Linked DNA regions of Mus musculus: all the other regions are reported to be linked to region 1. The links are microRNA targets in miRTarBase. Many come from high-throughput screens and were not tested one by one. Region 1 holds a microRNA gene; each other region holds the end of a gene's coding sequence.
What was found. Region 1 holds the annotated microRNA mmu-miR-5119 (CAUCUCAUCCUGGGGCUGG, at 2,448-2,466, shown strand). A microRNA usually pairs through its seed, bases 2 to 8, with sites in the 3' UTR of a target mRNA and lowers its output. Matches are read on the target gene's strand: a 7mer-m8 pairs with bases 2 to 8, a 7mer-A1 pairs with bases 2 to 7 and ends in A, and an 8mer does both.

Region 2: miRTarBase lists Golm2 as a target of mmu-miR-5119. Seed matches in the 3' UTR shown: 7mer-A1 at 3,195-3,201 and 7mer-m8 at 720-726.
Region 3: the mRNA of Zc3h12a is a reported target of mmu-miR-5119. Seed matches in the 3' UTR shown: 7mer-m8 at 1,171-1,177.
Region 4: miRTarBase lists Rcan3 as a target of mmu-miR-5119. Seed matches in the 3' UTR shown: 7mer-A1 at 2,281-2,287.
Region 5: the mRNA of Ranbp10 is a reported target of mmu-miR-5119. Seed matches in the 3' UTR shown: 7mer-m8 at 3,094-3,100.
Region 6: the mRNA of Sv2b is a reported target of mmu-miR-5119. Seed matches in the 3' UTR shown: 8mer at 2,504-2,511 and 8mer at 1,353-1,360.
Region 7: miRTarBase lists Plekhh1 as a target of mmu-miR-5119. Seed matches in the 3' UTR shown: 7mer-A1 at 1,594-1,600.

Annotation. Positions count from the first base shown.
Region 1 is chr11:98,260,191-98,264,257 of GRCm38, forward strand. Mir5119 (microRNA 5119) reads left to right here and starts at 2,416; the gene lies at 2,416-2,472. It also overlaps a transcript of Cdk12 not described here.
Region 2 is chr2:121,932,788-121,936,854 of GRCm38, reverse strand. It overlaps Golm2 (golgi membrane protein 2), which reads right to left. Exons shown (of 10, transcript NM_001205369.1): 10 at 635-3,377. The coding sequence ends at 3,307. Among named protein-coding and RNA genes, the nearest start is that of Gm39916, 9.1 kb to the left of the region's middle.
Region 3 is chr4:125,115,630-125,119,696 of GRCm38, reverse strand. Zc3h12a (zinc finger CCCH type containing 12A) reads left to right here. Exons shown (of 6, transcript NM_153159.2): 6 at 1-1,283. The coding sequence ends at 418. Among named protein-coding and RNA genes, the nearest start is that of Zc3h12a, 10 kb to the left of the region's middle.
Region 4 is chr4:135,412,957-135,417,023 of GRCm38, forward strand. It overlaps Rcan3 (regulator of calcineurin 3), which reads right to left. Exons shown (of 5, transcript NM_022980.4): 5 at 1-3,642. The coding sequence ends at 3,464. Mir700 (microRNA 700) reads right to left here and starts at 3,677; the gene lies at 3,599-3,677.
Region 5 is chr8:105,768,032-105,772,098 of GRCm38, forward strand. Ranbp10 (RAN binding protein 10) reads right to left here. Exons shown (of 14, transcript NM_145824.5): 13 at 4,064-4,067; 14 at 277-3,686. The coding sequence ends at 3,556. Among named protein-coding and RNA genes, the nearest start is that of Gfod2, 11 kb to the left of the region's middle.
Region 6 is chr7:75,113,831-75,117,897 of GRCm38, forward strand. It overlaps Sv2b (synaptic vesicle glycoprotein 2 b), which reads right to left. Exons shown (of 13, transcript NM_153579.4): 13 at 1,064-3,948. The coding sequence ends at 3,765. Among named protein-coding and RNA genes, the nearest start is that of 4930533N22Rik, 86 kb to the left of the region's middle.
Region 7 is chr12:79,078,791-79,082,857 of GRCm38, reverse strand. It overlaps Plekhh1 (pleckstrin homology domain containing, family H (with MyTH4 domain) member 1), which reads right to left. Exons shown (of 29, transcript NM_181073.3): 28 at 3,752-3,898; 29 at 1,203-3,420. The coding sequence ends at 3,265. Pigh (phosphatidylinositol glycan anchor biosynthesis, class H) reads left to right here. Exons shown (of 4, transcript NM_029988.2): 4 at 362-2,189. The coding sequence ends at 454. Among named protein-coding and RNA genes, the nearest start is that of Pigh, 8.8 kb to the left of the region's middle.

The sequences.
Region 1 (4,067 bases):
AATAAAGACTGTCACTAGTGTGAGACCAGGGGACTCCAAAGAAAGGAGGGGAGTTCACAGGAGTTAGGCTTGCTGCCAGCATAGGTGTGAGTGGGGTGTGGGTTGGGGAGGTTAAAGGATGGTTTCCAGATGAGGGTCCCAGGACACAGTTGAACTGATGGTAAAAGTTAGGTAAGAGGTGGCTGCTTAGTTGCTAAGAAGCAGGTGCTTGTTAGCTACATGCAGTGTACCTTTGTTCAGTGTTGAAGAAGACAGGAGCACACCCTACTAAAGGAGGACTGGAGCATGCATTGTGACCATATGCCTCCAGTACCTGCCCCAAGCTTTTTTCACTTTGGAGAACCAGGCAAGAAAGTCTGATCCTGGTATATAGCAAAGACATCAAAACTTCTAGCTCATGTTATCTGGGGAAGAATATAGAGGTGATTTTTAGTTGGTTGTGGTGTTTTGTTTTTTGTTTCTTCTGTTATGCTTTAAAGATGGGAAATGAATGCCTGTGGCGGTGTGTGCTGTGGAAGCACAGTCTTCTGGCTTGATTCTTGGAAGGCCTTTTTCTGTCCCTCCCTGGGGCTCATTTGTATATCTGGTTCCTGCTCCCAGAGCCATAAAGTGGGAGCCCCCATTTATTAATTGGGTTGGGACTGGGGAGGGGGTCGGCAGGGGACTCTTTAGTGCAGCAGGCAGGGGTCTTTCCGAATGAGCCCATTAGCCAGCCCCAACGGCAGCTGAATCGGGGCTGCAGCCAAGTCCTCTCCGTTTCAAAAACCCTCCATCGCCTGCAGCAGATCAGAACAAGGCCTGCGGGAGCCCTTAGCTTCTGATTGCAGCTGTGAGGAAGGACAAAACAATTTATAGGAAGCCAAGTAGCTCTTGTCTCACTGTCTTTCTCTTTCTGACTTTGGGGAGAAAGAAGGCTGGAATGCTGTGTCCTCTCTCACCGAGGTTTCTTGCAGGCATGTACAGGCACAAAGTAGGAGAAAACAGGAGTGTGTGGGATTTGGTATTTTTCTCTGCTGTGGGTATATTTACATATCCTTCCCATCTACATACAGTTGTGTTGGACTAGCAACCACTAAGTATATGGGCTTTCTATATAGGGTTCCCTTGGGCAAAGTCAAGTGTGTATGCAGTATGCCAGTCTGAGTGTGGGCAGAGACAGTCTGCCTGCTTTATCAAGATGAGAGAGTTAGCTCCCTTAACTTTTCCTCTTAGGAGGAAGGGCTTAGCATTTAGAAGAACTCATTTGCTGCTTTATTCAAAGTGTATTAGAAAGGCATATACTACAGTGGTACTGCGTTCTACAGTGGCATAGAGAAGGGTGTCGGGCCTGAATATCACAGGGGAGGGAGGTCTTCACCTTACAGAATTATAACTTTCCAGAGCTAAAGAGAGGTATGTAATCCAGCCTCTTTTTAGAGCATGATGCTGAAGCTTAAAGAAGGACAGTGTCTCATCCAGTCATGCAATAAGACTGTTGCGCTATCTAGGACTAGCTCCAGAGGCAGAATATTAATCTACATGAATAAGCATGAAGCCCTCAGCTTTTCGAGTGCCTGTTCCTAATAACCCAAGGCTACTTTAAGAAGGGAAAAAACAGATTCTGAAGGGGGAGAGACAGAAATTGAGGAGGAAAAGTAGATTTAAAGCTATTAGTATGAAACCATGTTATGTATCATTCAAGAATAATCTCTTAGTAACCAAGTGTGGTAACATACACCTTTAACCTCGGGTCAGTAGGTGGAGACAAGCAGATACTAAGGTCAGCCAGCGCTACATAGTGAGACACTGTCTTAAATTAGACTCCTTCACAGCCAGTTAGATAGCTTGTAAAAGTGCCTAGTCTAGCAAATTGAGATCTATCCCTAGAACCCACATAATGGAAGGAGAGAACCAATACCTGCAAGTTGTCCTTTGACCTCCACAAACACTGGCACAGGCATCCCTCCCATACACATATACATAAATGTAATTTTGAAAAAAGAATGGCATGCAAATTTTACAAATAATTTTTAACAATATAACTAAATTGTTGGGAAGAAAGTGGTAGTCATAGCCAAAGATCTTAATGCCCGTAGAGTTACCCCAAATTTTCAAAGAACCCTTGGCCCCAAACTAAGGGACTGATACTAGGGAAAACCTCCTCAGAGGCAAAGTGAAAAATTCATACCAAATCTCAGCTTAGGTTCTTTGTCATTATAATAAATTTATGTCGGAAGAATCCAAATGGAGAGAGAGCACCTTGAGGCAAGGCTAGAGGGAGTTTCACTGAATGGGATATGGAATCATGACTCAGGAGAGTTGGTGGGCACCTTCTGCCTTTCTCTTATTTGTAGAGCTAGGGGAAGCTATTTGGTGTTCTTGGACCGTGCATAAGGAAAAGTGTTGCACAGTGGTCAGAACCAAAAATAAGCTTATCAGGGCTGGCCTATGGGACAGATACTATAAGTCATCTCATCCTGGGGCTGGGTCTGCTGTACCTCCTTATGCTTGCTTTTACTGGACATAAAAAATTGGGAACCTGTTAGTAGCAAAAAGGAAAATGCTGACGAAAGCAGCAAAATGCTGAGCAACATGAAGATAGTTAAGGTCTGTGTTAGGGATCTACCAACTGATACTGTCCGTGGATAACAAGGAGACAGATCCCATTGTGTATCATTTGTGGTCAGTCCACTGCATTATAGTTGAAAGAATATAGGAATATGGGGTTAATCTCCATGCAAAGACTTTGTTCCTGCAAAGGAAATGCACAATAAACCTAGTTACCCAAATTGCAACTAATCTACTCTTGTAAACCTTTCTGTTTCATAACTAAGGCCATTTTCTGACTTTAAACTCCTTAAAGAAGCTGTGATGAACAAGAGAACCTCCAATTGAAGATGGTGGTCTGGTCTAAAGTTATGTTACCCCCTCCAAGTTAGAATCTTGCATTAACCATAACATGCATTGGCCTCTATAGTATTTCTGTGTTTCACAGCTTGTATTCTATTAAATTTTCTGACATATACCTTAAGTATCAGGGCCATGGTTTTTTACTTATCATCCTGGGAACTAGTCTTTGGAGGTAGGAATCTGGAACAGTCAGCTCTTCTGGAAGAATTCTTAAGATTCATTTGCCACTTTGGGGGCATGTAGGTTTAAGAGAATTGGAGAAAAAGCAACCATCATACTGTTACTGTTACTGTAGCTGTCAACATTGTAATCTCCGATGCATGACCACATACCCTCTTTGCACTGGTTGCTTGTCCTGTGTCTAATGTAGCTTCTTATTTTTCTTTGCAGATAGCAGCAGCAGGGATGGCCTTTGAAGAACTCCAGACACCCATCAGTTACCTTGCATCCAGAGCCTCTCAAACAATCTCATTCACAATACTTGAAGCCAGGTAGGGACTTAAAGCCAGTCAGAAGCCACTGGCCTGATTGTACATGGAGTAGCACCCCACTTGTGACAAGGGCAGTTTCTTCTCTGAAATCCCCAAAAAAGTGTCCTGAGTTTTTATTTGGCCCTATTCTGGTATCCTACCTAGTAGTTAACAAGCTCTCTCCAGCTAGAATGAGTGAGCCCTCTCTAACAGTAGCAGTTACTTCATTCCTGTGTTACCAGATAGATATGCCTCTACACGGGAGTACTGACATTATTATTCAGTTACTTTCAACCTCCTTTAGGGTGAATATCTCCCTTACCCATACCCCTTCATATACAAAACACTTTTCCCCCAAAAGCTGTTTTTTGTTTTGTTTTCTATTTCTTTTTTTTTTAATATTTATTTATTTATTATATATAAGTATACTGCAGCTGTCTTCAGACACACCAGTCAGATCTCCTTAAGGATGGTTGTGAGCCACCATGTGGTTGCTGGGACTTGAACTCAGGACCTTCAGAAGAGCAGTTGGGTGCTCTTATCCGCTGAGCCATCTCACCAGCCCTGTTTTCTATTTCTTTAAGTCAAGATAGGACAATGCTATCTCTTCTTGCCTCTAATGAACTTCACTGCCTTCTTTCTAGGTTCAGTGGAAAAGTCCACCTATCCAAACACTGCATGAGACACCAGAAGTGGAGGCCTGCAGCT
Region 2 (4,067 bases), not on the chromosome of region 1:
CCAGGGAAAACAGCCACAGCTTATATTGTTTTGCGTCTCTTGAAGTCTGTTACCCAACAACTTGAGAGGGTGGTTTCTCAGGCATGATATTAGAGTTTTTGTTAGGTAGTCAATGGTTTTTTCAGGAAGCATTATTGCCCACAGTAGTATAAGTTCTTTTTAACAATCTCTGCCTCTGTTACTACCTAACTCTTTGCATGTGTACATACACATACATCTACGTGGTGGTTTGAATGAGAATGGCCTCCACAGGCTCATAGATTTGAATCCTTGGTCACCATAGAGTGTACTTATTTAGGATGTGTGGCTCTGTTGAAGGAGGGATGTCACTAAGGGTAGGCTTTGAGGTTTCAAAAACCTAAATCAGGCCCAGGGTCTGTCTGTCTGTCTGATGTGTACTTAGTAATATTTAACTCTCCTCCCCAGGGTTAGGTCACCCCACACCCACTTTCCCATTTCTCCACTTTATCTCTATTTTATCCATTTCATGCTGACTGCTTCCACATTAATGTAACCTCTAGAAAAGACCTTGTCTATTTTATTTACAATCTCACTACCACCAACTAATTCTAAGGACACAAAAGACTTTCAACCTTTACAGAATAAGTTGGTTCTACAGTAAACAACCCTAGTCTTTTTTTTTTTTTTTAAAGATTTATTTATTTATTATATGTAAGTACACTGTAGCTGTCTTCAGACACACCAGAAGAGGGCATCAGATCTCATTACGGATGGTTGTGAGCCACCATGTGGTTGCTGGGATTTGAACTCTGGACCTTTGGAAGAGCAGTCGGGTGCTCTTACCCACTGAGCCATCTCACCAGCCCAACCCTAGTCTTTTAGTCCAATTTACCTTAAAATAAATGATAACATTTATTCAAGTTTTAATGTCAAGATGTAAATGTTTATATTCATGTAATTATATATATATAATCAAAACTGTGAAACAAGTTTAACTTTTAATTTATTAGAACCCAGAAAGTGATGATTTTTTTAAAAGCAGAGTTCCCATCAAATTAACACTTAATTCAGGGCAAAATATATTAAAATATAACAAAATAAAAAAAAAACCCTAAATCTTAAGGCAGAAGTAAAACACTGTAAACAGAACAAAATAGCATGTCTAATACAGACTGTAGAATGTCACAATTTAAAGAGATTCACATAGTATTTTATAGCACTAAAATGTTAATACAGTCAGAAATATTATCAATTGGTCCAAGATTCCTCAGTTTATAAAATGTCTAGGCTGCTAATTGAAGTTTTTTTCCATATAAAGATAGATAGGTACCATAAAATCAAGTGACTGCTTTTATAACAGAGGAACCAACAGGCATCTTTATGATTTTGTCTGTACAGTTCTACAGTATCAAGTATGGAGTATCACTAGGCATTTGTAGGTTCAGCTCCCCTTTCTAATGCCCATGGTTGTATGTCACTCCCCTTTGACTGTATTTTAATGTGAACCATACTTTTTACTACAGAGGCCTAGCTTTACTGATAACAAAATCATGAACTGTTTAGTTTCTTGGTGTGTGGGTATGTGCGTGTGCAGTTACATGTGTGCACATGTAGGTACAGGTGTTTATGAGTGTATGTGGAAGCCAGAGGGTCAACTTGTTTATATATGCGTGTGTGTGTGTGTGTGTGTGTGTGTGTGTGTGTGTGTGTGTGTAGATGTTCCTCAGGAACAACTGTCCCTTACAGGGACCTGGAACTTGCTAATTAGGCCAGGATGGCTATTCAGTGAGCCTCAGGGACACACCTGTTTCTGTTTCCTCAACACTAGGATTGCAGTTGTGATACATGCCCAGTGGTATATAATCTGAGATAGCAGAAAAAACAAATTTTAATAAATTATTCCATCTTTTCCTGGCCATTAAATAACTTTGGACTGAACTATAAGGACTTCAGATGTCAGCAGGTGAACAATACTTCTGTTAGTATTTGGATTAGAGCCTTAGTGTGGGGACTTTTCATGTCTACTTACTTGTCTGCTGTTTTTAGTGTTTGAATCAAACCCAGGCCTCTGCACATCTGAGCTACAGTCACTCTCTAGTAGTTCATGCTTATGTGTAATTAATAGCAGCCCTTCTTAAAAAAAAAAAAAGGAATAATAGCCTTGGGATTAACAGCCTTATGATCAACACCTTTAATTTTTAGGGAACACAAAAAAATTAAAAGTGCTTGAAATCAGTAAACAAGGATTAGCTAGCTTATATATCCTAATGAATAATGCCAAAAGACACAATGCACTGAAAATAATTCTGTAAGTCTAGCAAATGAGCTTGGTGGGTTCTTAACTAACATTAATTACAAATACTCATTTTTTATTACAAAGTTTTCAGCTATTTCAATAAAATAGCTGCAGACTTCACGGTACTTCTACTCATCTGTTCATTAATAAAAACCTGTTAAAATCCCTTACTTAGTAGTTCTGGAAAAGTCTAATCAAATACGATCATTAAAACTACCAGCAAAGCTTTGCTGTACTGATTGCAGACTCATTTCAAAGTGGATTCAGTCTCTCTCAGGGTCTGACTCTTAACTGGTGAATGTATTCACCAGCTTGAGCTCTGAAAATAGAAAGAATTTTAGCCAGTGCTGACCAGAGTTAAACAGTTCTGGTATTACTTGAAAAATAAAAATACACTGTCAACCATGCATTCCACAACTTCAAGAACCAAGTAAGGAACTACTGATAGATATGGTAAGGATGTAACGGTGACCTAGGCTTTTCATCAGGCCTCAGCACACTCACATCAGGGCCCATGTAAGATAAAGGAGTAGAAGGCCATTCTGTACATTTGCCCACTGTCTGGCATCCAGCCTCCCCACTTCTGTGTAACTATTCAGAACTTCTTCAAGAGTGTTAACTGAGGGGTAGTAGAGGACACCTATGGGGGAACAAAAATGTAGTAATGTGGACTTTTCAGCCGAATAAGTTCTCATTGTGGTTATACTATGTGCAGCATATAACCTGTACAACCATTTGTTCCTGTTTGTCTCTTTGTGAAAAAAAAATTAGGCTCAATAAAATGTGAAATTTACATTAGTTTGCTTTAAAATGCAAAGATTAACTGTTTTTGGCCCAGCTGTGTAGTAACCAAAAAAAGTATCTGCTTTGATAATATAATATGAAAAAGTTCACATATGTACATTGGTACATTCCTTCATTAAAATTTCCTTAAATCTATCTCAATGTATCTTTACAACTGATACAACTGATCTTTACAGCAAAAGTCAAAATTGACAAGTAGAGATGATCTGTTGCACAGCACTTTGGGTTTCGGGAATCCCTTAGACTTAAAGGACATCACTGAAGCGCTGTTTGCCATAGTCTGCAGGATCCATCTGAAGCTCTCGTTCTTCATCATCTGCAAGCAAAATAATATGTATCAAGAATAGAGTTCCAAAGTTGCTGCAAAGAGCCAGCTTCAAAGTGTCTCCAGTTTTTCAGCAATCTTTTCTCATTATCCCATATGTGCTTGTTATCTTAAACAGTGCTCTGTTCCTTAGCCACATGGCTGAAGTGTAAATAGTCTATCATTACTTTGTAAGATTTAATTTTAACAAATATTCTTAGCTGGACATAGTGGCTCACACCTGTAATCCCAGCTCTAGGGAGCCTGAGGCAAAAGGATTAGAAGTTCAAGACCAGCCTGGACCACATAGAAAACTTGAGGTCTACCTGGGCTACATGAAACCCCATCTCAAAGAAACACCAATCATCTCCAACTTTCAAACAGAACAGAGTCACTTCTGACAGGTACCGGGGAAATAGACAGACAGAGCTAGCAAAATGTTAGGAACTCACAGCACTGAAGAGCTAGTGCTGTGCATTATCTTATGGACTGGAGAGATGGCTCAGCAGTTAAGAGCACTGACTGCTCTTCCAGAGGTCCTGAGTTCAATTCCCAGCAACCACATGGTGGCTCACAATCATATGTAATGGGATCCAATGCACTCTTCTAGTGTGTGTCTAAAGACAGCTACAGTGTACTCATATAAATAAAAATAAATAAGTCTTATAAAAACAAAGACAAAAACCCTCATCTTAGCTGGTC
Region 3 (4,067 bases), not on the chromosome of region 1:
GGGCCCCACTCGGGGCCCCTATGCAGGTTATCACAGCTATGGATCCAAGGTCCCAGCAGCACCTTCCTTTTCTCCTTTTAGACCAGCCATGGGTGCTGGCCACTTCAGTGTCCCCACCGACTATGTGCCCCCGCCACCCACCTACCCATCCAGAGAGTACTGGTCTGAGCCGTACCCATTACCCCCACCCACTCCTGTCCTTCAGGAGCCCCAGAGACCCAGCCCCGGGGCTGGTGGGGGCCCCTGGGGCAGGGTGGGTGACCTGGCCAAAGAAAGGGCTGGTGTATATACCAAGCTGTGTGGTGTCTTCCCCCCACACCTGGTAGAAGCTGTAATGAGACGCTTCCCACAGCTGCTGGATCCGCAGCAGCTGGCCGCAGAGATCCTGTCTTACAAGTCCCAGCACCTCAGTGAGTAAGCCAGAAGGTGGCGCAAGGGGCTGTCGGGCATCACAGATAGCGGTCCCCAGCCCCTGCCTGGCCTACCCTGGAAGCTGGACAGAAGGACAAGTGAAGCAGGCAAGGGAATCCTCAAACCAAAGATACCATAGGATTGGTTCTGGCCCCGCGGCACCCCAACCCGTCCCGCACAGGTCAGAAGTGATCACCCTGTTGATACACATTGTATCTCTGTCATTTAAGGAGACGCTGCCGGTCAGGCCGTCCATCCGTGGCTGATGCCCAAACCCTCTTTTTTTTTTCTCAGAGGGCCGGGTGGGAGGCATGGGGGAGCAGAGGCCTGAGCTGGACCCCACCTTCCACCCTGTCCCTGGGACGCCGGCACCACCGGCTAGTTAGGCACCATGTGCCTGCTCTCTGAGGCCCCCTCAAGCCAATGCGGCCTCATCCCTGTTCACAGGGCATGAGGCTTCATGTTAGTAAGCAAGATGCTTCTTTAAGCCCCTCCCCTGCCCGCTCTGTCCACCTACACACCCCCCCCCCAACCAGGGCTCCAAGGCCCTCTGTTTCCACACCTCCCATGGGTGGGAGGACACATGTATGCTGTGTACAGAGGCGAGATTTAAATATTTTAAATGAAAAAGGTTGACAAAATAAAGGCTATTGCCAGGCAGGCTGGAGAGATGGCTCAGTGGTTAAGAGCACCGACTGCTCTTCTGAAGGTCCTGAGTTCAAATGTCAGCAACCACATGGTGGCTCACAAACATCTGTGATGAGATCTGGTGCCCTCTTCTGGGGTGTCTGAAGACAGCTACAGTGTACTTACATACAATAATAAATCTTTTAAAAAAGAGAGAAATTTAAAAGAAAAAAAAAGCTATTGCCAGTCGTTTTGAGAGGAAGTTGTCCTTACTGTGCCTGGTGGGTAGAGCTGCTCTGGGGTGACAGGAGGCCAGTAGGGCAGATGTCACTCCCTGTCCTCAGAAAGGAGGGTTCCCAGAAGCAGTTGGTCCCTTGGAGCTGAACCTTAATAGGAGGCAAGGTAGCAGGTGACAGCTGCAGGAAGAAGTGTAACGGCACAGAGCCCTGTGGCTTCAGCTGGGTAGAGGGGTGCCGGGGCGGGCGACAGCAGGGATGAAGCTGTTCCTCTTTTCTCTGATGACAAGAATTGAGGGTAGGAAACAGGGAAACGATTTGATCAGGGCCACAGAGGGCGGTGTGATCCAAGTAGGTGAGGGAGCCCTTGGGTGCTTGCACACAGGCTCCTCCTTCCAGATCTGCTGTGTGTCCAAGGAACCAGGGTTGCAGAGCTGGAGGAAGGGCTGGGGTAGTAGCAGCAGCTTGGAGACGCCCTGCCACTGACTCTACCAGCTGGAGCAAGGGACTATCCTTCCCAGACCTCAGTTTCCTCATCTATGAAATGGGAATCCTAATGGCAGCTACCTTACAGGTTTGTCATGAGGGTTCAGTGAGATAATACATGCTAGGTATGTGACCTGCCTCCTGCCGCACAGGCACTGCTCATTAGAAGGCTTCCATAACTGACTCCTGTGGGCAGGCACACAGACTGACCCCATCCACCACGTCAAACTGCTCATCAGCCCTAGACAAGCCCAGGCAAGATAACACCTTCCTCCCTCCTCCCAGCTCCAACTTCAAAGATGAACATGAATATTTTAAATGAAAGGCTAGGCTATCACACAATTCCTAAGCAAATATTACCAGCCAAGGAAAAGGGTGGGGGGAGGCGGAATTACAGCTTTAATAATCCTACCTTTGAACAATTCCTCTGATATTTGTACTTAGTAGTCGGTGTACCTTAGTGCATATTTCTGTTTTAAAAACTACTTCCGTACAGAACAGCTGTGAAGCTCTGGAAGAAAATGTCACTGTGGGAATCCTCCCCACGAGCTCCGCCCAACTTTTCCCTGACCACCCTTCCAGAAGTGCCTGCTTAGGACAAACATCAGGATCCGTTGGCATGCAGGAGCTGGAAGCTTCCCTCCCACAGGAATTAAAGGTGTCTATGCCATGCGTGTTCCTCCCGGCCTCCTCGGGAGCTGTTAGCAGCATAAGGAGAGACGGCAATGCCTTATTTATTCTTACAAAGGAACTACATTGTCCAGGGCTCTGGGAAGGCAGCCAACCATGCACTGAGTTCAATACTCAGCACCTGGTGTTGGAGCGTACACCTGCCATCCCAGCATCCCGGAAGAAGATGCAGGAGGGCCACAAGTTCAAGGCCGTCTTTGGTTACAAAGCAAGTTCCAGGCCAACTTGGCCTGCATGAGACTCTGGTCTCAAACACACGAAATAAAACACACGGACACACAAGGGCGCCAATGTATTCTCAGGTTAAACGGCCGTCTGTGGGCATCTGTTTGTCTTTATGGGATAGGAAGCTAAAATACCGGACAGTCGGGTTCATTATCAGTTGCTTGGCAATGCTGAATGACTTGCCCAAGGTCCCACGGAGGAAGGCAGGCTGGGGCAGGGCTTTCAGTACCCTTCCTGATCCCAAAACCTGACACCAGACTGTTGTGACTCAAGCCTCTGCAGAAATGGGAAGTGAGCTGCTCCTCCCACTGAAGCAAGTAGAATGCTCGCCCACTCGGCTGCTCAGTACGGCCCTGTCTGTACCATACTGTGGAGCTTTGGGGGCCATGAGATTCAGGGGCCGCTCACAAGGGGAAGTGAGAAGAACTCTTCCACTGTCCTGGCTTTCTTAGCCGGAGTTTGAAGTCATCTGTGACTGTCCTATGGGGGTGAGAAATGGGCTGACTCCACAGGCAGGCAGCAGCATGAGTGCCAGCTGGCTATGGCTAATGTTAGAAGGCAGGGCCTGGCCCTGCTGGTCCACTGAAACCAGTGAGGGCTACAGATTCAAACAATAGGTGCCAGCTAGGACCGGGCTCTGGGCTCAGGCCTTCTGATGCCTGTCTTGGTGCCCATGCTTCCTGACAGCTTGGCTCAGCTGGACTAGCCAACCACGTGGCCATGCCTCCAGGCCTCTTTCTCAATCTTGCTTCCAGGCAGGGCTACCCAAGCAGCCTGGCTCAAAGCCAAGGCTGTTTCTTCTCTGTGACTTGCTTCAGCATTAACTCCAAAGTTCTCACCACCTCTTGTCCCCTGGCCACTGAGGCCACTCAGACAGGTAGCACTGGATCACACGGGACCTTGGCCTTCCACCTGTGAAATGGGCACAAAGACACACCACCTCTCCAGACATTACAAAAGAAGACCTTAACTAGCAGCATCTAGAGGCAGTGAGGCCCCAGTTCACGCCCCACTCACTAGCAGGCAGCCCTGGCTACTCACTGCCCTTCTCTCAGGGCTTCAGCTGCCTGACCCACAGTGATCCACGTGGGAGCTTAACGGGGAGGGCGGCAGGGACAAAATGTAACTCCCAAGACCAAAGCTCGAGCCACCAGGCTTGCTGCAAGGGATCAAATTCCAAGCAGCCGCCCCAGCTGCTCCTTATGCCAGCTCTTCCTGGTTACTTGAGCCAAGCTGGGTGATGGGGAAACTGGTGTGTATGCAAATTCTCTGTTGGGAAATGATCTCTGGGAGCTGAGCTGGGCCTTCCCACCCTCCCCTCCCACTTGTACCAGCAGGTAGTGAACTCTAGGTGCTTCAGCAAGTTCTGCTCCACAAGACTAACACCTTGAG
Region 4 (4,067 bases), not on the chromosome of region 1:
TGTCTGCATGCTGACCGTATCTGGGATCACTTCTAGCCTTGACTAGAAACCACAGGGAAGGAATACGGCACGTTCCCAGCCGTGGACAAGATGCACAGTTGCTGTTATCTGTCCCTGGGATACCTGGACACCCAGGAATCCCCTTGTTTTTAGACAGGGTCTCGGTACATGGCCCAGGCTGGCCTTAAGCTTGCCAAGCCCTGGTACCTCTGCCTCCCAAGCGCTGAGAGGACAGCCTATGTCACTGTGCTGAATACACGGTAATCCTGACTATGAACTGCGCTCCACTCAAGACTGAGGGAAACAGTGGCACTCTGAGAGGGATGGCTTTTCTGGAGAACACACTCTTGAAGGGAGTTTGAAACACCAACAGTCATTTGTCATGTGGTTGCTCAAGGTTCATACATCGTACTCTCTCTGTGTGTGTACTTAAGTTTGTGTAGAATGAGTCCAGAACAGACTTCTTGGCTAGAAGTAAATATTTTCCCAGTTGCTCTGTACTGTCACACCAAGAAAAAGGAAAAACCTTATTCTGAGACGGTTTAACTCATGTAGCCCAAGCTAGCCCCGTTCTCTCAATCCTCCTGCCTCAGTCTCCTGCAGGCTGAGATTACAGGCCAGGGCCACCACACCCAGACAACGGTTTCCTTTAAGATAGATGTATTATGGAGCACAGAGGGAGGCTGGAGGTGACCCGGGGTGAGGTCTCAGGCTCTATAGAGAAGAAGGCAAGCAGGTAGGTGTGAACCCAAGGCATCAAAGAATCCAGTACACTCCCATGGTTTAATTATGCGTAAAGCTTTCCTCTGAAAACCAAATCCTCCAGTCTAAAAATAGTTTACATAAAAATATAAAGCCCAGGCCCACCGTTAGTCTGGAATAGAACTTGATTCTCTAAACCGAGGGAGAGGGACATTCCGTAGAACCTTTAACTCCATGCATCCTTTGTGCCTGGCTCCGCTCTCACTACTGTTTACATTTTAACATGTAAATTCTAACACATGGCATGAATGTGACTATCCAGGGAACCCAGATAAGGTGGCAACACAACTGCCAGTGGCCAAGGTAGCATCAAGTATGCAGATTTGAACTTCTTGACTTAAAAAAAAAAAGAATGTTCTTTCATTGAGGGGTAGAAAATGAAAGCCAAGACAAATTTTAAAACAGGGTTATGATCACATAGAAAATTAGAGAGAACGTGTACTGTATAACGGGGAACACACAAACTCCCCAACTGTGAGAACACACTTGCTGGCAGCTAGGGTCTACCTTACAATCAAATGAAGTACACTGCCGAGCTCAGCACTGCAAAGCACTGTAAGCCAAGGATGAACTCTTGATCTACTGCATTCGCCTCCAAAGTCTCAGGATTACAGCAGCTGTGTGCCTGCATCCAGTCAACTGGGAAGACCCACTGAGGCCTGGCGTTTGAGACCAACCTGGGCCACACTGAGCTGTCACCTCAAAACCAAACTCACTTTATCTGACAGATGACTTGGATCTAAAAACCAATGCGGGTGGAATCGTAATCTGCAACTGAATCTGCACGGAGGGCTCCCAATGGCAAACGCAGAATTCAGCATTCCACAGGACCTGAAGGCAAGGGACACTCTCCTGTTCTTGTCAGGTATGGTGGCACACACCCTCAGTCCTAGCACTTATGAGACAGAGGCAGGAGGAGCAGTTCAGGGTCATCCTTGGGACACAGCAAGTTTGAGGTCAACCTGGACTACATGGGACCCGGTTTTAATGACAGACAATGCACCTGTGTGCGTGTGTTTGTGTGTGAGCTCATGCATGCACGCTCATGAAATCAATCCTACCACAAAAGGACTCAGCCCTAACATGTCACGCAAAGTACACGGCTCTCATGGCTTCATTTCTCTACGTTCTTTTCTTTGCAGTTGCAGCTATGTTCCTCTCTGTTCTATGCCCAGCCCCTTCACCTAGGCCAGCCAGCTCTGAATACTTGATGAGTGGAGCAGCTGATGTACCTGTAGCCCAGCACTCAAAGGCAGGAAAGTCTGCAAGGGACCAGTGATGCTGAGTGACCTATGGAGGCCCCAACAACACATCTTCAAGTGTAAGAAGCAATTCTACCTGAGGGCCAACTGCAAGCAAAGGTGGAAATGATTGTTAAAGGAGGAAGCATAGACTACAACAAGCCCATGCCTACAATCCAAACAAACAGAGCCTGAGGAAAGAGAGTGGTCTGGGCCTCAAGGCCAGCTTGGGCTACATAATGAGTGACAGGCTAGCATGAGCTACAGCGTGAAACCTTATCTCAAAATCAACCAACCAACCAACCAACCAACCAAACAAACAAACCCAACCACCCCCAAAAGAATGATTACTTTCCCTAATCCATGGGGGAAAGGACAGGTGATTTTTCTTTCTGAACAGCTGAAATACTTGAATGGAAAACTTTGAAATGTGTGGTGCTCACCCCTCTAATTCCAGCACTTGGGAAGCTGAGGCAGGAGGATCACAGAGGACTTGAGGCCCAGGAGCTACAAAGTGAAACCCTGTCTTTGAAGAAAACAAAAGCAAACTGGCTCTCCCTATTTAAAGCGGTCTTCACAAAGTCTTATCATTATCTTCTAAAGTTAAGACGACTAACGTCCTTGATTACACGCACAGCACAGGAAACCTCAAGCAGTAGCAGGCCGGCATTAGGAGGGTCAAGAGAGTAACTGAAGAGCTGCCCCACAGACTCCAACTCTGTAGTCCTCAGCCAAGCTTCCCGGTGACACATCCCACTGGCAAAGGGAGATTCCTCCAGCAGAGCCGAGGCTGGGAAGGGCTGAGCTGGGAGCAGAGTCCTGTACACCACTGTCACTGACTGCCAAGAGAGGCAGGACAGACGGACAGCCAGGAGAGCTAAGAGCACATCTGCCCACGATATCTGGATCTGACAATCTCAGTCATTTGGCCTTTCATCCTCAAAGCTAGTGAAAAAATACTTGTGAGAAATGACTTCTACAAATGATTTTGTATCTCGGGTTTCTTCTCATGCAACAACAAAAAAAAGGTCATGTCTACTGAACAACACTCAGCCTTTGCTCAATATATTTGTTAAGACACTGCCACACCTGTACAAAAATACCCACACCAAAGTACTGAAACCGTAAGACTAATTTTTAAATCTGTAAAAATGGCAGTGCACTGGGTGACTCTAGTTCTGGCCTGTGGTACCCAATGCTCTACAGGTTCAAGGGAACTAATATTTCTGGGGGAGGAGACAGGTGCCACATGGTCAGGGCTAACCTTGTCACTTAAAGTGCCATTGAGAATACTGTTCAGAATTTCAAACAGCTGGCCGAATCTGCTACTTCACCCCACGTTCTGGCCTGGGGAGGCTGGCCCAACTGCCTGACGGATGCAACAGCATCCCTGGGCTGTGCTCCTAGACAGGCGCAGCTGTAGTGGTGGGACAGGCAGGCGCGGCAGGCACCGCAGCCGCTCAGAGTGCACAGTCCAGCCGCTCACTCAGTGCCGCCGTGGGAGCCTCCGGGCGCCGCGTCTGCGTGATTTTCTGTTTTGGATTTTTTGTGTCTTCTTCCTCTTCAGTTTCGCTCTCACAGACGTGCACCACCACACTGGGGGTGGACTCGGTTCCCGCGTGCAGTTCGTATTTCTCCCCTGCAAGCACAGGAAGGAGCCTTACTCCCAGTGAAGGAAATCAAGTTCTTCTATCTCCCAACTTCCTCTTCTACTACGTCATTCAGTGGCTGATTTTTTTTTTTTTTTTTAAGACTGCGTCTCATGAAATCTGGGCCAGTTAGAAACTTGCTGCTGTAGCTGAGGCTGACCTTGAACTCTAATTCTTCTGCTTCCATCTCCCAAGTGCTGGCATTTAAAAAAAACAAAAACAAAAACAAAAACTCCCTGGAGTCGCACTATGTAGCCCAGGCTGGCCTAGGCTCACTGTGTAGACAGGCTGACCTGGAACTCCCAGGGAGCTGCCAGCCTCTGCCTCCCAAGTGCTGTTAAAGTTGAGTACCACCATGCCCTGCAGAAATTCTATTTGTAAAGACACTGTCGGGCTAATGCGATGGCTCAGTGAG
Region 5 (4,067 bases), not on the chromosome of region 1:
AGACCAGGCTGGCCTCGAACTCAGAAATACGCCTGCCTCTGCCTCCCGAGTGCTGGGATCAAAGGCATGCGCCATCACGCCCAGCAATAGCCCACATTTCTGAAGTTGAGTTTGTTTTTTCCATGTCTGAGAACAATTTCAATCGAGAACAGCTCAAGTCCCTGTCCCTTTTGGAGTCTTGTAAAGTTGAAAGTTGACATTTCAAAAGTCCCCGAGGTACCAAGAGGTAGGGCCTCCCAACCCCAACTCCAGTAAGATTCTGAACAACAGACACAATTGCTCATGGATGTGTATTTTAATAAAAATAATTCTGTCAAAATACAACAGGAATCTTTTCATCTCAAGTACAATTTACTAGGATGTTTGTGTTGGAATTCTGTCAACCCTCTCACACCACAAGTTTCATGCTAATGCCGAATATCAACTTGCAAGGACAAAGGCAGAGCCAGTGTGCACACTGTGGAGGATGCCAGTTTCAGCTGTAGTTGATAATGGAGGGAACCGATGCAAAGAGGTGGGCACTGGGACAGCCAGAAGCCACCATCTGGCCACAGGTCCAAATGCCTGTGATTGGTGGTGAAGTAGGGCTTTGCTGTCCAGCTGCCGAATGACATGCATACCTGAGTTGTGAGCAACCAAAGGAACGTTCAGCCCCAACAGTCCTCTGCCTCATCTTTGTGCTTAAGGACTGGGAAGGTGCTGGGTAGCCAGGCAGTCCTTACTTCTTTAGTTTGTGATGTTCTGCACCCAGTCTGCACCTAGCCACAGACCCTCAGAGGAAGGGATTGGGGGAGAGGGACTCTGAGTCATCCGCCAACTTGGCCCTTGCTCTGCAAGGAGCTGCCATCTGTGCCTCCTAGGGAAAGTGAGCTAGGAAATGCTGCTACCTCAGGACTGGACAAACCCAACCCGGCCAGGTCCTCCTTTTGCACACCAGGGTCAGGTCCAGCTCTTTGCTAAGTTGCTTCCAGGAACTGCTCCTCACTCCAGATTCCTGGAAATGGGCTAGTGGAATTGGGGGTGCATACAGGTCTCCTCTGGCAGCAGGACTGGACTAATTACTGGCTCCAGCAGCTTGATTTTGGCCCTCCCCACAGCTTGTGGAACAAAGGCTTATGTCCCCAAAGTGAGCTGTCCAACTAGGACAGAAAGCCTCTCTGGAGAGGAACAGAGTAAACAACTTGGACTCAGCTGAAACAGTGAGATAAGGCACAGAATTAAATGGGGAGGTGGCCATGGGTACTGAGTGTGAGCCAGGTGGACATACAATCCCGTGCAGCACACAGCAGTCCCAAGCCGTCCAAGGCCCTCTCAGCCACTCCGCAATCCACGTCTCAGCACCCATCCCTACCCGTCACACCACGAAAGGTGCCAGCTGCTCAGGCACTGCTGAACTCACGCCAACCTAACCCCTTACAAAGCTCATTTGCCATTTTGCTTTAGGTCACGACAGGACTTGTCTAACCCACAGGAGTAGTTAGTCCTGGTTCTGCCACTATTTGCTGTGTGGCTTTGGTCAAATCACTTAATTTCCTGGACCTGTTTCTTTCACTGTAAAAGGAGAGGACTGGTGGAGAGGTTCTCTAAGTTCCACTGCTCTGCAAATGCCTCTGGTTTTCATTTCCAAATGTAAGGCCCATCCATTGTTAACAGCCTGATATTTCCAACCTGAGCTTGGAGCTTGGGTGTCCCAGCCTTGGACAGGATGAAATTTCCTTTACATAGGACAAGACCTCCTGAGGAGCTGTAAACTAAGGCCCTGACAGGAACCAGGAAAACATAGTAGCCTGTAGGATTAGACCCTAAAGCAAAATTTTGGAGGATCTCAGTCAAGGCCCTACTTCCTCACTGACAGATGGTCTAATTCAATTTTGTCCAGCTGTGGGCCTTGTGAGGACTGGTGGGCACAGAACATCTCGAGCTCTGCCATTGATTTCTGTGTCCACCAGCAGAACAAAAGCTTCCCCTGCCCAGATGCACTTGGAGACTGGAAACTCACTTGTGGCTTTGCCACAGTTGACCCTAATCTTTGCAGAGGTTGCCTAGGCTTTTCACTCACCCTGTGAAGCAGGTAAAATCCTGGCCCTCCTAGGTGTCCTCTGTATAGACCCTCCTCTTCCTTGGTAGACAGTCCCCTCCACAGATGGCCTACTCATGTCCTGGCAGCATCTCAGCCCTGGGATAGTGGGTTTTGTTGTTGCTGTTGTCCCGCCAGCTGTGAGGATCCTGTGAAACAGCTGGTGGGACATATGTAAGGCCCATGGAGTCCCCCCTTCCTAAGAGTCGCTGGGGCCACGCTGTAGGGAGCAGCCTTCCTTAAGCTGTAGGGAAATCCGGATCAGGAAGTCAAGGGTTCCATCCACTCTGGGACCAGTGATCCAAGAATCAGTCTCCATGAGGTACCAACTTCTCCACAGAAAGCATCAATCCCATCAGGGTTGGGCAGTGATGGTGAAGACTCTGGCAGGAAGAAAAGAGCCCTGTCCTTAAGGGCCTCTGTCTTGGGAATGGCTTCCTCTTGGCAGCCTGGCACACAGCAGCTCTTGGGATGAAGGCAGGTAGTTTCCAGGCAATCAACTGAGAGTAATGAATTATTTGGCCATCTTAACAAGGGAAGGCAGGCATTGAGATGGGAGAGAGGGGCAAGGCAGGCAGTGAGAGGCAGGGTAGAGTGGTAGACAGCATGCTGGCTACGGACCCTGTGTTCCCTTGCTTTGCTGTGTGCCCCTGGCCCACCTCACTTCCCTGAATCCCTGAACCTGCAGTTCTTTTGTTTACCTATAGGGGGCCTAGAGACCCACACCTCTTGGGATGCTGCAAAACAGCTTAGTCTGACCTTGCCCACCAAACAGCCTTCCCCAAAACCCATATTTCCTGGGCAGCAGCTGAACCTGAGGCTCAACAAAAGGGGAGCCTAAAATAAACAAATCACTTGATTGAAGTGACAAGAGATGATTCTTTTTTAATGAGTTGGACTCAAATAAAAACACATGGTGTCTGGACAGCCTCACCCAAGAGGTGCTGGACCACTAGTGCTACGATAAATACTGTGACTTTTTTTTTAATATATATTTATATATATATATATATATAATCTCATTTGTTTGTTTTTTTACTTATGAAAATAATAAGCTATCATCAACCTGGATAGGCTTCATTACTAAGTTAGCAGACACCAGCTCAGCACAAACTCTCCCGAGATAAACACTGGTGGCTCAGTCAGGAGGAAAAAAAAGTTAAAAAAAAAAAACACAAGATCAAAAACAAAAAAAAACCAACCTCTCCTCAAAACAAAATCTCCTTTAAAGGAGAAGCTACCACATGAGTAACCAGCCAATACTGAGTCACAGGTCGCTGCACGTGGAAGGGGACAGGGAGGAGAGGACAAGGGAGGGAGGGAGGAAGGGAAGGAGAAAAGGAGGATGGACCGGCCAGGTAGGAAGAGTGAACTCTGCCCATGGCTTCCAGGTCTCTGTACCAGATGCCTACGGAGGACAGGGCTGCTCCAGCCCTAGGGCTGAAGGAGGGCCAGCCAGAGCCAGCCAGGAAGGTCTGCTAGTGCAAGTAGTCATCGACTCTGGCAAAGGAGCAAGATCCCAGGCCTGCTCGGGCCATGAGCCGTAGACATTCAGATGCCTGGCCCAGGGCGAGCATCAAAGGAGGCTGCTTTGGCAGGTTCTGAGACTCTGTGGAAGAGATAACAAGGTATGGTCAGTACCTAGCCAAGGACTTGGGCACAGGTCAAAATTCCTAACGATGGAGGGTGGAGTTAAAACTATGGGCAGGACTCTGGGAAGAGTGTCAATGTTTGAGTGTCCTAGCCACCAGGCCACCAGGCTGTGGGCCTGCTTTCATGATGGGAAAACCTGAGGACCTTGGCCTCCTCTAGAGCAAGGAAGCTGACCTGGTACGTGGCATGTGGCATTGAACTAGCAGCCAATGACCTCAGCTGGGCAAAGGGAGGCTGGGGTTGGGATTAGTCCTAAAAGCCCAGGAGCCTCTGAAGGGTCTACGGCGACATTCACACCCATGGTTAGCTTTTACCTTTATTAGATGCACTCACCTAA
Region 6 (4,067 bases), not on the chromosome of region 1:
TTCTGGCTGACCTGATACTAAAGCAAAAGAACTCTGCTACCCGACTCCTGCCCCAACAAATCAACGTGCCTAAGTATAAGCAGGTTGTCTGTGCGTCTCCAAATATGATTTGAGTGACTAATACCAACCATGCAGTGTACACGTTTGCTGAAAATGCTAATTCTCATACCGGTCCCATACATACTAAATCAGAATCACTGGGGACGGGGCCAGGCAGTCCATTCAGAGCCATGTGGGTGTCTGTGGGGGTGCACAGGCACATGAGTGTCCACATGCACAGAGGACAACCTCTGCTGTCGCTCTCTAAGCACTGTTCCCCTCGTCCTTGAGGTGAGTCTCTTCATCACCAGAAACTTGACAACTAGACTAGCCTGGCTAACCATCAACACCAGGGATCTCCTGTCTCCATCTCCCAGTAGTGGGATTAGGAGAAGTAGGAGAAGGCCACTTCATCCAGCTTAGTTGGGTCCTGGGGATAGAACTCAGGGCCTCATGCTTGTCAAGTAAGCACCTCACTGAGATACTGCCCCAGACTCCATTCCAGGTGGTTCTAATGAACAAAAAAAAATCTTAGGAATGATTCGTTGGTCTATTTTCTTTCAGTACCAAGAACTCCACTTTGAAGAAATGATGGTTATGTATCCAGTAAATATATTTCCCAGCATGCTCTACAGCAAAGAAGAGCAAAGATATTCATGTTTATAACTGAAAGGGGCCTCTAATAGAGCAAATATGAAGAAGCCTGGTTCAACTAGGAGGGTTAGTCCACAAAAGGAGGCAGCATCATTCTAGACCTTATTATACAGTCCTAGCACATGGGTACCTGGGCCAAATGATTCAAAGTCTGCGTATGAAAGAAGAGAGTTAGAAGAAGGGATTCCAGCACATTAGGAATGCAGAAGAGACATGAGTGAGGTAACATGATCTCTAACCTCGGTTCCTAAAGATTCACTCGTGGTTATTTTCGTTCTTTTGTCATGAGCCAATACCCAGGGAACCCAAAGAGTGGATTATTATGTAATCTCAAGCTCACGTGCTACAAATTTCAGAGCCAGGACACCTCTTTCACTAATCAGTTTTAATAAAACAAAAGCTCAGAAACCAGCATCAGGAGATCCCACAACACAGTTGAGACTGCTGAAAGTATCGGCTCCCAAACAAGCCATCATAAAATACATAATGAACTGTGAACAGTCTGACTCAGTGAGGGAACGGCTCTCTTCTTTAGTCCTCTATAGATGCCATTGGGAGTCTCTCAGGGCAAAAAAAAAGAAAAGAAAAAATGGATGGCTAAGGATGTTGTACATTACACCCCAGTGACCTGACACGGGGACTATTTTTAAAGACACACTTATCTCATCAGGAGTGACAGCAAGTTATGAAGCAGCCAAGTACCATGGCCAGATAACCCTTCATGAGAGAGGCTGCAGACCATGGCTGCATCCTTCTCACATCCCGTGTGATGGATGGACGGGAATTGCCCTTGGTTGGTTAGGCAAACAGGTTAAGGAGCCATAAATGTAATGTAGAAGACAGAGCTTAGAAACCAAGAACAGTTAGCCTAAAATAACTGCAGCCACTCCTGTGCTTTAAAAATTAGTCAGATTTAAAGTTTACAAGATATATCTGACTGTAAATGTGGATTCTAACTGTCTCGTACATTTCTTGAGTGGTAGCTGAGCACTGAGGTCTATTATCCCATTAAAGAACACTGTTATGAGGGATACATAACCACAGATTTATACAATTCTCTCATGATCCTAAGCAATGCATTCCATATCACAAGAAAATGGAAAAGGACATCACAGCTATATTACAGAAAGTTTCTCGTTATCAACAGAGCGTTATCAGTTAATTCCTATAAAACACCGAGAGAAGCATTAATACATTCTGTATATTTATATATATTTATATTTGGAGTAATGGGGGTTATCACATCAGACCTGATGCATCTTCCTTCCCTGGACAGAAAGTAATGGTGGTGTAAATAAAGAGGTGGGGACCAGAGAAGCAGAGTAAACATGTTAGCCACACTTGAAAATGGGAAGTTCTCAAAGATTTCACTCTTTCCCACTGCCAACTTATATTCCAGAGGACTAGGCAAAGATGGCTTGAACTGGCCTGGCATCTAAGTATTTCCACAGAACTGAGAAAACACTCAATGTAGTCATTAGTTTGGTTTAGATTTGGGAAGATTTCTAATAGGTAGAGATTAGCACATCACAGCTTGTGTGTGTGCTGCAAATAACGTGAGCAAACTAGTTCTTACAGTCAGTCAGTCAGTCGTTCTGCTGGCCCAGGTAAGAGCAGCTCAGGTGGCAGGAACTCCTAGCTCTGTCTCTACCATTGCAGAGGGTACTGATGAACAAAAGCCACTCCCTCAGCCTAGCCTCCAGACTGCTGGCACCTGCCAGAGCAGCCCTGACCCCCTCTCCCCTTTCCACATTCAAGTTCCAACCTGGATCTCAGAAAAAGCTTCCTTGGAGCAATGAAGAAACGAATGTATCTCATGCCTTTTATTTCCTAATGTGCATGCTAATGGCCTGTTTCGAACGCCCCGAGCCAACACACAGAGCATAAATTTCTCATAGGTCCTAAACACTATAATAAATGTACATTGTGTTTTTCTTTGAAATCAAACAGGAAGAACTCACATTTTGAAGAACTGTGGTTACCTTTCCCCATCCTTAGTCAGTTATCTGTGAGGGGGTTCTCTCTAAAGAAAAGGAGTGCAAGCAGCCAATAATAAAAATAAAAACATTTTCATTTCATTTCTTCCTGTTCTCTCTGGGTAAACAGCATCAAACAACCTATGGTCCTGAGTTTCACAAATGAGCAACACAGGAGAGAGAAGTACCTGCCCTACCAATTTGAAGAAAAGTTCCCAGGTAAAGGAAATGGCACGTGGCTTGCCAAGTACATCCTCCGGACAGCAAGCAAGATGCTACCCATTCGCACCAAGTTTCCTGCGACCTTGAATGGAGAGTCCTCCCCAAATATGGCTAAAATGTTGGCAACCTTAGCAGCCACCATTTGTGGGAATAAAACCTCAAAACTCTTATATACAAACTTAGTTTACATAATACCCATCCTCACGTTGCTCTGACAAGAGCAAAACCATAATAAATATAGTTCTTAGTGTATCACCTCTTCGTTATGCAAAGTTCAGGATGCTTGGGAAGAAAAGTCCGTCTATATACATTTTGCTTAAAGGTTGGGTTTTTCTATATCAGAGTATCCTCAAGGCTACTGTGCCAGTTTTCAAAAGGAAAATATGATAGGTGATACTTTCAAATGCAAATACGTAGTCTGCTCTCTGAGCCCAGTATGTGTTGACCCCACTCCCCACTATGACAATCTGCTAGGTCACTGGGCTCCCAGAAGCTGCATGGAGGAGCTTAAGTGGTTCTAGTCCTCAACTTCAGTCCGAAATGCAAATAGTTTTTTGCACCTCATTTAGAGGAGCATATACTCCTTGCTTACTGTGTGTGTTTACTGGAGTGTCCTCTCCCTGCCTGGGATGAAGAGACCTGAAGCTAAGCACACAGCTCTGGGATCCCAAGGATGGTTCTGGGCACCCCTAGTCAATCACCTGAGTTAAAAATGTATTAACAACTGCAGTGGGTCCTAAACTAGGGATCACAAAGTCCATTTCTCCTTCCGTGCTGTCCGCGGTATCCTGTAGACAGTGAGAGGCAGGAGGCGTGGCTGTGCTGGAGTGTCCTGAAAAAGATCTTCCCATCTGTCTTTTCCCGGTGGGTTGGTCACATCAGGACTTGCTCTCGAGTCTCTGGCAATCGAAGGGCAATCAGGCCACCTCCAACCAGAGAAGCAGCAGCCAGAAGGATGGGGACCACTTTGGTTATCCCAACAAAAGAAGCAAAGATAGTGTTTCCCAGGATGGCCCCAAACTTGCACAGTCCGTTGAGGATGCCGAAGGCCGTGGCCCTGCAAAAGAAGAGGACAGGAGAGGATTCTGAAATTCTGGGCTTCGCTAGGTGAACGGCTGTATGTTCTTTCCTTGTTGTAAGAGGAGGAGGTGTGGGACTCAATTTCTTATCTAAATA
Region 7 (4,067 bases), not on the chromosome of region 1:
CTGTATTTTGCGTGCGTGTAATCCCAGCATTCAGGAGGCAGAGGCAGGCAGATCTCTTGAGTTTGAGGCAGCCTGGTCTACAAAGTTAGTTCCAGGACAGCCAGGGCTACACAGAGAAACCCTGTCTAGAAACCAAACCAAACCAAAGCCAAATCAAATAAAAACCTGTCTTTATTCCCCACACACCCACATACAAAGGCTGGATTTGGAGACCTCCTGGCAGAGCACTCATTCCCTCAACCTTGTGTCTCTTAGTTCACGGCTGCCATTTAGAGCCAGTGGTGTATGTGAGAGGTTAAGGGGCCAGGTGGATTCTTCTTACACTCTCCTTGACTCTGTATTTCTCCACTTTGGAATTCAGAGTGCCAAGCCCCGGTTGGACTGCTTGATTGAAGTATACAGAAGCTGCCAGGAGGTTCTGGCACACCAGAAAGCCACAGCAACAAGCTTATGAGGCTCAGCATTCAAAGGCCAGTATTGTCTTTATGGAGAGGACTCCTAGACTGTAGTGGCCGGTTTATTTTCCATACTGTAAAAACCATCAGGACACAGTCCTGGGAATCAGAATGGATGAGTAGATCTCAGAACCACAGAGGAGGGGCTGGAACTTGATTCATGTTCATAATGTTCCCTGTATAATACAGTTTTTTCTATACTACGAATCAAGGGGAGACCTTAAGGATTTTGACATGTCAAAAGGCGGCCAGGCATAGTGGCACATGCCTTTAGTCCCAGCACTCAAGAGGCAGAAGCAGGTGATCTCTTGAGTTTAAGGCCATTCTGAGCTACATAGTAAGTATCCTCCACCCAAAAGTATTGTCCAAAAAGAACACTGAAAACTTTAAGTACCTTCATGTTTGTGTTAAAATCTGTGAAGTATTAAGACTGGTACCAGATTTCACAAGAAAAATGTAATTTCCATCTGTATAGACTCTTGTCTAAAAGTTAGGGAAAATAAGTCACATTTTTATGTATGAGTTAGCAGGAATAAAATGCCTAAAGGGCTAGCCTCTATCCACCCAGCTCCTAAGATCTGTGCAGGATCATGACTCCTTCATCCACAATTTAGCTAGGGATGGTGTGGATGCTTGTAATCCCAGCTCTCAGAAGCTGTCAACAGGAGGATTGAAAGTTTGAGGCCAGCCTGGGCTTCGTGATGAGACACTGTCTCAAACCCCAAGATAAATATCCACAACACACAGTTATTGTCTGGTTCACTGACAGTTTTATTGACAAACATACATAGCATTTCAGCCATGGGTGTCAAGCATGAGAGTACCTTTCTGTTAATATTTTCTATTGCTCAAAAGCTGTTTGGCTAAGAGGGCTTAGGTGAAGAGTGAGAGATTAAATGTTGGTTCCCAGACATGAGCCTGTCACATTAAAGGATGAGGAAGCCAGTTGACAGAAGCCTTTGTTTCAGAGGTGGTTCCTTAGATGCTAAAGATCAGGAAGGAGAAAAGGCGCTGGACTGGGCAGAACTCGCCTTTAACCCCAGCACTGCAGAGGCAGAGGCAGGCGGATCTCTGAGTTTGAGGCCAGCCTGGTCTACATAGTGAGTTCCAGGACAGCCAGGTCTGCATAGTGAAACCCTATCTCAAAAAGAGAGCAAGAGAAAGGAAAAAAAAAAGCAGCAGCACAGCAGCAGTAGCTAATCAGACCTTCAAGTCTTACAAACAGTTGCATTAGCTGGAATTCTGTTTACAAAACAAAAACAACCTGAGAGCAGACTACATCCTTACTGGCTTTAAGGCCCTTGGGATGTAAACCAAGAACTGCATTCTCTGCCCTTCACCTAGCCTTGAAGGAGCTGTCCAGGGGCCTATAGCAATGTGACTTGAGGTAGACCTGTCTCCTCTAGAACCCCAAATCTGGGGTGGGAGTTGGGGTTCAAACAGAAATGGCTATAAAGCTGCCTGGCTTGCAAGTCAAGCTCTTTTTAAGGGGCAGACTCTTGTGCCTTTTTAAAGTCAGGCTTGTCAGTTCAAAGGATGAGGGATTACAGCAGCTGAGGCATTCAGATTAAACTAATTTTTGGCCTTGCAGTTTCTTGTGGTGTACAACACACACATTGTTGGGTTAAAGGCTTATTTCTTGATATTCCTCTTATCCCCTAGTCTATGTTACTGAAAAATAATAAAACTGCCTTAAAGCTACACAATAAAGCTTATTTTTTATATGTTGGAAAACCAAAGTATGGACTTGTTTTTTTATTATTATTATTTTGTGGGGAAAGATGGAAAGAAAGATCATCTTCATCAAAATCAACTAAAAGGTTTGCGTTGAGAGGGATGATAATATTCTCAGGAAGGCAAAGTTGAAAGAAACTTTCTACTTCCACAGATATGTACATGCCCTGTGCTTCCAACTAATTTCGAGAAGCCCTCTACCAAAAGTCTTAGTGAGCAATCCAGGCCTTCCAAGAATGGAAGGGTCTTTAGTGTTCCTGATATCTTGTTTCTCTGGTGGCCTCTTAGAGCAGCAACAAGCAAAATTTATGTGCTTGGTCTTGGAGAGAATAGGAGATGATGACCACCTCGTCCTTCAGTAGTGAGCACAGGCTTCACTGAGCCTTGTTGGGCCTTAAAATGACACAGGAAGGGTGCAGACTGGCTCTGTCCCTGCCTGTGCTAGTCCAGTGTGAGAGGAAAAGCTTTAATCTTAACAGGAATACTGTACAGTCCTGAAAAGATTAGAGCCCAAAAGGGCATGGCAAATGCCTCCTCACCAATAGGGGAGGGCTCGTCATTCTTTCCTTCTCCAGCTTGGCCAGGGTTTTTCCCATTTGGGAAAGAAGTCCAGTTTTAGAGATTTGTAGGCATTTGCCAGAGTTTAGGTAAATTAGGAATTTTAGTCCTATTTTTATTCAGGGATGTTCAGAAAACTTCAAGTATAAGTCCCCACGTAAAGACCATGTATAATATAAAAAGATGAGCTTCCCTGAGTATCAGTGCAGAAGCCCCAAATACAGTACCATTGCCCTGGTAACTGTGGGCCATCCCTGTCTCTATCTAGAATCAGGTAGCATCCAGAGTCAGTATTCTTGTAAAATAGTGGTTTTGATGTTGGGTCTGAATCTTAGAACATTGGGCCTTGAAAGGTAAGGCACCTAAAGAGCACAAAGGTTTCAGAGACCCTGGAATTCACAATTCACAGAACAGTTTGAGGAGGGGCCATTAGACCCATCACAGTAGTGTATGCTCCAGGGTATCAATCTGATCCCAGAGGCACGAGTGGTGGCAAGGGTATGGGGAGGAGAAATGTTCACAGCAAAGCTGACCCCTTAGTGCAGGAAACAGAAGCAAAGAACTGTCCATCCAGGTCTCGGGGCTGGCGGGCTGCAGGGAGCTTGGCTGATAGGTTCACAGTTGCAGAACAGTGGTTCATGTAGCTGGCCATCATTAAGGTAGTTTCTGTAATCTAAGGAGGTTAGAGAAGCAAAGGATTAAACTAGCCTTATCCTGAATGCTGCCTTCTTCACTGGCTATAACATTGGGTACACACAGAGTAGCTGTCCAGTAAAATGTACCTCTGCTGGCCTAGAGAGTCTGAGATGCACAGTACCCTCCCGAGGATAGGAGGGATAGCAGTGGCTGGGATCAGGCAGTTCCCACCAAGTTCCAGCTCAGTGGAGAGATGGACGTGCTGTTCCACCCGGACCCTTAGGGATGCTGTCCAGAGTTTTCTAAGTATCAAGCTTACCACATCACACCAGACCAGGGTAAACTGTCATAGTAGCTGTCAGACCCACCTTGGGAGCAGGCATTCGGAAGGTCAACTTGTCAATACGGGTTTTTCCAGAGCTCTGGTCTGGAATGGATCTAATCACAAGCATGAAGTCATCCCTGCAGCCACCGAACGTTGTCACTGAAGAGTAGGGATAAGTGATGTTCACCTGCTGTGGGAGGAGCCAGTCGAGTTCAGGGGAAACTTTCTTTTAGACACAGGGAGCCTTAACCAGGAAGGGAGAGCCCCAAGGTGATGATGTAAGTTGTGACCAGACTATAAGACAGCACTGCTCAGCAGGAGTTAGAGAGAGCAACCATGGCCGCTTAGTTCAGGCTTCT